Linked DNA regions of Ovis aries. The protein of the gene in region 1 binds, or shares a complex with, the protein of each later gene. Links are inferred from orthologs where the notes say so. Each region holds a gene or a part of one and is shown on either strand. Other genes may lie near its edges.

Evidence for each region.
Region 2: the proteins of LPL (region 1) and GPIHBP1 are in contact, whole or in part, in a crystal structure (PDB 6OAU), measured with the Homo sapiens proteins. The link is inferred for Ovis aries from reciprocal best matches to the Homo sapiens genes LPL and GPIHBP1. Residues at the interface, in NP_000228.1 of Homo sapiens: Tyr367, Gly368, Thr369, Ala371, Glu372, Glu374, Leu403, Met404, Lys406, Lys430, Lys440, Ile443, Cys445, Ser446, Arg447, Glu448, Val463, Lys464, Cys465, His466, Asp467, Ser469; in NP_835466.2 of Homo sapiens: Cys68, Lys69, Ser70, Leu92, Ala94, His95, Gly96, Asn97, Thr98, Glu99, Ser100, Leu103, Thr104, Thr105, Ser107, Trp109, Cys110, Thr111, Asp112, Ile117, Lys119, Val121, Glu122, Thr124, Val126, Met128.

What each region holds. Positions count from the first base shown.
Region 1 is NC_056055.1:45,939,252-45,943,156, reverse strand, and holds the start of LPL (lipoprotein lipase precursor), read left to right. Parts: upstream 1-1,047; 5' UTR 1,048-1,209; coding exon 1,210-1,297; intron 1,298-3,905. UniProt on the Homo sapiens protein: Key enzyme in triglyceride metabolism.
Region 2 is NC_056062.1:14,304,060-14,307,686, forward strand, and holds GPIHBP1 (glycosylphosphatidylinositol-anchored high density lipoprotein-binding protein 1), read right to left. Parts: upstream 2,461-3,627; 5' UTR 2,406-2,460; coding exon 2,354-2,405; intron 1,813-2,353; coding exon 1,693-1,812; intron 1,075-1,692; coding exon 964-1,074; intron 861-963; coding exon 625-860; 3' UTR 506-624; downstream 1-505.

The DNA.
Region 1 (3,905 bases):
TTTTACTTGCATACCTGAACACATCTTTTTAATAGCTTTATTTAAAATATAATTTATGTACCATAAAGTTCTCCCATTTAAAGTGTATAAGTCCATGTTGCTAGTGTATTTACTCAGCTGTACAACCATCACCATAATGTAATTTTTGAACATTTCCATCACCATCCCCTCCAAAATCATCTCCATTCTCCTGCCTCCCCTAGTCCCCAGCACTAGGTAATCATTAATCTACTCTCTGTCCCTAAGGTTTGCCTATTAGTGGACATTTTATGCAAAGGAAATAATAGGATGTGCATCTTCTGTGACTGGCTTCTTTCACTTAGCATAACAATACACTTCCAGGCTGTCTGGCTTCAACATTCTGCCTCTGAGGATAAAATGTTACTTTGCATTTCTTGATGAGTTTGAGGATTGAATATAACTTGCATTAAGGCAAAAATTAGAAACTAGTTAGAGCAAGAGGGCTTTTCTCAACTACATAAGCCAATCCATTTCACCAAAGTTAAAATACCAGATTGTGCAAGCTCAAGCTGCAGAAAAACGTGTGTCCATGGGTCCTTAGATTGACGTTGTCCAGGAGAATTGGCGGGGGAGGGGGCAAACAGAAAACAAAACAGACACTGCAAGTTACAAACAGAAGCCATCAAAAGAAGCTGGGTATTGCCCAAATGTAGTTTAACAACTTAACTTCCCTTTCTTAGAAAACAGATGATTACAGAGTATTTCACATAAAGCCATAAAAACCTTTGTTTGGTGTTTGTATAGGGGACCCAAGAGAGCCAGACCCCTTAGGAAAAGCAAATTGCCCTCCTAGAGAAAGTAAAATTTTTCCTTCTGCCCTTTCCCCTTCTTCTCCCTTGCAGAGTTGAACCGCATTTCAGTTTGCTCAAATATTTGAAAGTGAATTTAGTATCCTCCCCCCAACTTATGATTTTATAGCCAATAGGTGATGAGGTTTATTTGCATATTTCCAATCACATAAGCAGCCGTGGAGTGGAAACAGTGTCAGACTCATTTTCTCCTCCCCCACCTCCTCCTCCTCCGGGGAAACCTGCCGCTTCTAGCTCCCCACCCTCCCCTTTAAAGGGTGACTTGCTCCGCGCCAGACCGCTGCTCCAGCCTGCTGCCGCCTCGGGCTCAGCGGCTCTACTGCTCTGTCCGCGCTCGCGCCCGGTGCCCCGCATCTCCTACGGAGGGACATCCCCCGAGATGGAGAGCAAGGTCCTGCTTCTGCTGGCTCTGAGCGTGTGGCTGCAGAGTCTGACCGTCTCCCGCGGAGGGCTGGTCGCCGCCGACAGTAAGTTTTTTGCGCGCAGACTCCCCACTTGCAGAATAGGCTCAGTGGCCATTTGCACACGTTGTGAGGATGAGAAGGAAAGAAAGTAGGAAGGGGCTGCGATGAGCACCGGGGCCTCTCCTAGCCCGAGCGCTTGCCTCAGATAGGGTCGCGGGGGTGGGATCTGGAAGGAGCACGGAGGAGACTTTTCCTCCGATCTCTTTGGGGCGGCTCCCAACTCCCCTTTCTCTCTTTCGCGCGCAGTCCTCTCTACTCCAGCTGCGGCTGAGTTCCCTGGAGCCTGGGCTCTACAGGGAAATGAGCCGGGTAGGTCCGGTAGAGTGTGAGGGGCGGGGCCCGGAGGCGGGAGGAAGGGCTCTGCCCGCGGTGACCTGCTTTAACCTCTCCTCTTGCAGGGGCCCTGGAATGAAATGAAGGGGGCCAAGGTGACCCTGGCTTGGCCTTGGTCGCAGCTCAGCCCCAGCCAGTGAGAGCGCGAGTAAAAAGTGGCCCCTTCTGGAGAAGCCGGCCCGTAGTGGAGCGGGGGGAGGCACTGACCCCAACCCTGGACACTCTTGCTCTCCACGTGGAGGGACGTGGAGGAGAGGACGCGGGGCGCGAAGTCCTGGGCACGCGGGGTCCTGCACGCACTGGCGCGTCGGGGAAGCTGTCCATTTTCCACTCTTGTACCCTCGGCTTTACTTAGCTGCCAGCAAACCTGGTGAAGGGTTGACCACCGCTCCCCTCACCCCCACCCCCCGCCGTGAAAAACGTGGCAGAGCGACCAGCAATCTGACCGCTGACTTGGAGATTGCCAGGTTTGCGCTTGGCTACCCTTACTGTCCTCGGACTGTTCTCGGAGCTGAGCCCGACTCGGGCGCCCTGCCCCGCGGTGCGGTCCGAGCTCTTGGGGCTTCTTGGGCGCCACGGGGAGGCCACTGGCGGAACCCCAGTCACCGCTCACCAGGGATAAGGCGTCCAGGCCAGATGTGAGTTTATTGCAGGGAAGAAGAGCGCCCAGCCCGAGACCTGCCCACAATAGAGGCAGCCTGTGTAACTTGAGCCTTGGTTCAGCTAACACACAGCAGAACTAAAAAGGTAGCTGAAGCAAGTCATAAAAAGAGGCAACGTTTTCTTTTCTCTTTGGTGGAATTGCAGTTGGGGCGTGTCTCCTGGATGTGCTTTCAGGCGGCACGTCCTGCAGTGGCTCATTTTATAGTGAAGTTTGTCTCTGACTTTGCTACTAAGTTTGTCCCTGACTTTGCTATTTCAGCACAGAGTTGTGAAATAACATTTTTAATTTATTTAAGTCGGAGTAAAGTTGCTTTACCATGTTTTGTTAGTTTCTGATGTACATGAAATAGCATTTTTCATAGGTTAAAAAAAGGAAAGCTGATAAAAGTATCTTTTCTGTCAGATCAGTTTGAGAACACTGGAGGTTCAATTTGTTGTTGTTCAGTCGCTAAGTCGTGTCTGACTCTTTGCAACCCCACGGACTGCAGCACACCAGGCTTCCCTGTCCTTCACCATCTCCCGGAGTTTGCTTATACTAGTGTCCAGGGAGTTGGTGATGCCATCCAACCATCTCATCCTCTGTTGTCCCCTTCTCCTCCTGCCTTCAGTCTATCCCAGCATCAGGAGAAAGGAGACTCAGGAGACATGGGTTTGATCCCTGGGTCGGGAAAATTCCCTGGAGGAGGGCATGGCAACCCAGCCGGGTATTCTTGCCGGGAAAATCCCATGGATGGTGGAATCCAGCAGGCTAGGGCCCATGGGGTCCCACAGAGTCCTACAGAACTAGGGCGACTGACCAGACACACAGGCAAACATCTTACCAAGTAGCATGTGTGTTTTACACTATCTGAGAAAATGGTTGGAACAAAGTCCAAATTCTTGTTTCAGATAGTACATCACGGGATAATGTTACTTAGACCAGAAACACACACAAATAAGTGTCATTCACAGTTTTACAGTTTTTGTCAGACTCCCTGAGAGATTCAGGACCCTAAATTACTGGGCTAGTAAGTGTCACCTGTCTGGATTTTGCTTCTTCAGTCCTAAAATGAGGAATTTAGACCAGACTCAAAATCCTCTTAGACCCTTTAATTCCTTACTCTTCCATGCAAATAGACACAAGTGATTAAGGAATTAAATTGGATTTTAATCAATCTGTTTTTCCTAGCTATAAATGCTTTGTAAGGGAGGAATCATTTGGAAATGGACTTGAAATTAATCCCCCCCATCCTTCCTTCCCACTCTCACTCTAACCCCCATCCCCTCTTTACATAATGCCTCTTCTATCACAGCAACTCTCTGCTCTCTCCTCCAAACTAATTTAGGTAGGAATGTAAGACATTCAGAGTAGAAACGAACAAGTGTGAGGAGGGAATGGTAAGTACCACCACCTCTGGGCTCTGACTATACTTCTCTGTTTTCGATTTCTAAGAAAAATATGAGGATATGGGCACTGCCCTCAGGCTCTTTTTTTTTTTCTTGGAGCCACCACAATCTCTGCATGGCCTCATTAGGAAATTTGAAGAGCTCAGTAGCTACAAGTCTGTTTGACTGGCCATAGAGAATTTCTAGGCTAATATCTGAGTTAAACATGATGAGTGATGACAGCAAAATA
Region 2 (3,627 bases), on another chromosome or scaffold:
GGGCTCCTGCCCTGCCCCTCCGCTTCTCCCTGACTGCCCCCTCTTCCGCCCCATCCCCCCCACCCAAGCTGAGTGGTTGGCTGCAAAGTCCCATCTGAGCCATACACCACCTGTCTCCCTCTCTTTTCTCTTTGTCTTCCAGCCCCTCATTAATTCCACTCACCCCCAAGCCGCCCTGGGTGGGGGCCTTTCCTCCTCTAGGCCAAGGAAACCTTCCTCCCCAAGTGTCCTCTCTACAAGGGCCACCCCTCACGTGGATGGATGGAGGTTTCTTTTTGGCAAGAAGTTGGGGAGCAACCTGGGGTGGGCTCCCCACTGGCATGCAGTGAGTGTTTTCTCTGCTGGGGGCAGGGAGCTGTGTGGACCCAACCTGTGAGCCGCTGAGGCCTGGACCTAAGGCCCACGTGCTGGCCATCTGCCATGCACAGGCAGGGAGAGGAGGCCAGGATGCTGGAAGGGGAAACCGAGGAAGGGCCGCTGTGGCCAAGGAACCAGTGCCGCGGGGTCATCACGGGTGCATCCAGTTTATTCTCCATGGTCTGGGGGAGGGGACAGGAGACAGCGGACAGAGTGCTGGCCAGCCAGGGTGCAAGCCATGCTGGGCGCGAGGAGGGACCGCCCAACTCAGAGCCCCACGGCCTGAAGGCCGGCCAGGAGGCTGAGCAGGACGGTGGCGGCCACAGTCGCAGGGCTCCCCCGGGGGCCACCTGCCCCCCTCCCCTGGGGATCTTGCCAGGGTGGGGTGTTGCACAGGTTGGACTGGCAACAGGATATGGTCGTCAGGGATCCTTCCACCGTCCTGCTGATGGCTTGACATGTGTCTGCACACCACCCCGAGTAGGTGGTCTGGGGACCTGACTCTGTGAGGGGAGAGAGTGGATCACACGGGACGGGACACGGCAGGGATGGGGCCCCTCACAGGCTTGGGTGACGCCGTCCCGCCACCCCCGGGTGGCCCCTCACCAGCGTTCCAGGAGGAGACGATGGCTTTGCACGTCCTGGGGAGCACGCAGCTCTGCACCTGCTCGCAGCTCTCCCCCTTGTGCAGGGACTGGCACGTGTAGCACTGTGGCCCTGGGGGGCCAGGTGGGCTCAGCTGTGCAAGGGGCACAGCCCCCGGAGCGCCCCCAGCTCACCCACGCCTGCTGCTTCCCAGCCTCTTCCCCTTGGAGGTCTCTTCCCAATTCCGGTCCGCCTCTCCCACTCTCAGCTGACCCCCTCAAACCCTGCCGTGCTGGAGCCCTCTGTGCCCCCACCTCAGGACTGGCCCCCTTACTCTCCCGCCTCGCCCCCCGCTGCCCTGCCTTACTGGGACAGTTGTGTATTTCTGAACTGGACTCCACACCCAGGGCCTTTGGGTCACTGGTCTCTCCTTCCTGGGGCTCTGCTGTGCCCCTGTCTGCTTGGTGAACTTCTATTTAACCTCTCTGCCCCAGCACCATTGCCCCTCCCAGGACTGGCTCCTTCTCTAGCCCCTCCTCTGGATGGCAGTTGGGGGCTACTGCCAGGGTGAGAACTGAGGGTGTGCTGAGTGCCAGGGGCCCTGCCTCCCCCTTCCCCCACCCTGAGGGCATGGACGCTCGCAGCGGAGGCCTCTGCCTGTGGGCTCCTCACTGTCAGCTTCGAGGCACCCATGTGAGTGCTGAGGAGGAGGGTCGAGCGCCCCCATGCTGGGGTGGGGTGGGCAGGTACCTGAGCCCCTGCTGCCCGCAGGCGCGCCGGCCTCCTCTTCCTCCTCATCCTCCTCATCATCGTAGCCTTCGCGCCCAGGGTCCGGGTCATCGTCCTCGTCCTCCTGTGCCTGCCCTCTCCCTGGCCACGCAGGGACACCTGTAAACCTCCACTACCCAGGCGCAGAGGACACAGGCTCGGAGCCCAGTGCCGCGCCCCCTCCCCTCGGTCTGGCATCCCCTTCCCAGTCCCTCTGACCTCCCTGACCCTCCCAAGCTGGTGAGGTCGCTGCCTGGGTCTCTGAGCCCCGGCCCCACCTCCTGGCTGGTGTGCGACCTGGCGGCATCCTTGCCAACAACACTAGGGGTTGGGCGCTGGCCTTTCACAGCCCCCGACTCCAGCCCCCAGATGGCAGGTACCCCGAAGCCTGAGAGGCTGAGACTGGGTGGGATTGGGTGGGGAGGGTCACCCGCGCCCTGGCGTCTGGTTGGGGCAGGGGCTGGAGGTTTGGGGGCCCGTGGGGACCCAGCACGGCCCACCCGCCTCCCTCTGGCCTCGGCCTGCAGGTGCTCCCCGTCCTCCTCCCCAAGCCACGTCTTGCCTCCGGGCTGGGTGACCCTGAGGGCCTGCAGCCTGGACTGGGCATCCCTCTCGCTGCAGGGCCGCCCCTTGCCCCACGCACCTTGCTGCCTGCACCACAGCAGGGCCAGCAGGACAGCCGCTAGCGCCTTCATCCTGCGGGGCTGCCACCTCTGCCGCGTCTGCTCACCAGGGCCTCGCTGGGGCTCTGAATCTGTGGGAAGTGGGACAAAGGGCCTTGCCGGGGGCTTCCCAAGGCCCCGGGCCGCCAGCTCCAGCCTCAAACAATGGGCCTCACGCTGGCCCCCAGGCCAGGCACTGGGCCAGGGATGGTCATTTCCCTCCCTGGCTCCAGTGGTGGGGGAGGGGAAGTCACTGTGGCGGCCGGTGGGGCGTCCTGTCCACCTGAGCGGTTCTGCCCTGGCCCTGCGGCCTCAGCCCTGCAGTGCAGGCTGGCCAGCCCCTACCCCTTGTCTCGACCCTGAGACCAGGTCCAGGCCGCAGCCACGGGAGCCTGGCTTCATGGACCCTCCAGTCCAGCTGCAGACCGCTGAGTGGCACCGTCAACCACGAGTCAGCTGCGTCATCTCCCGGGGCCTTGTTAAGAGCATTTCAGAGTGAGACACAGCTGGGGTCCTTCTGCTAGGCCTCCCTCTCCCAGCAGCACTGCGTGGGCCCGCCGGCGGCCGCTGCCCTCCGCCCCACCTCAGGGCCTCCGCCCCGCTGCCTCCTCTCCCTGGAACACAGTCCCCGCTGGCGTCCTGAGGCCGTCCTGCCCCGGGGTGGCGTGCCCTGTGTCAGACAGAGAGCTTCCACCGAGGAGGTCAATGGGAGACCAGACCAGACATCTGAGTCCTTGTGATAGCAAGCACGTATTTGCAAACTGCTGCTTCCTGCTTAAGTACAGGAAGATAAAGGATTGATAAACACTCTCAGAGGAAGAGCCGTCTGTTTCTGTGAGGTGAAACCAGCCCCTTCCGCACTGGCTTCAGGGTGTTGATGCGGAGTTGTTCGCAGGCGTTAGGGTTAGGGAGCGATGCGGGAGGAGGCCGTGCGATCGTGGGTGAGTGACAGGCGGTGGCTCTGCTTGCCTGTGGCGAGTTCTCTAACAAGTTCATTTCTGCACATGCCCTTACCCTTGATTTGCTAAGAACAGCCCACCCAGTGGAGCACAAAACCACCTGTAGACTTTATTAACGTTGGTATAATGAGTTGGGTTTGCTAGAGGCTGTATGCCTGTCTAGTCTGGGCGGGGGCAGCCGTGGCAGCAGTGGGCGTCCTCTTGTGTCACTGTGCCGTCTCTATCAGGGTAAGCTGCCCACCGCCAGGCCATAGTTTTGCCCGTTCTGGGTGAGGTCGGGGGGGGTGGTCCTCAGA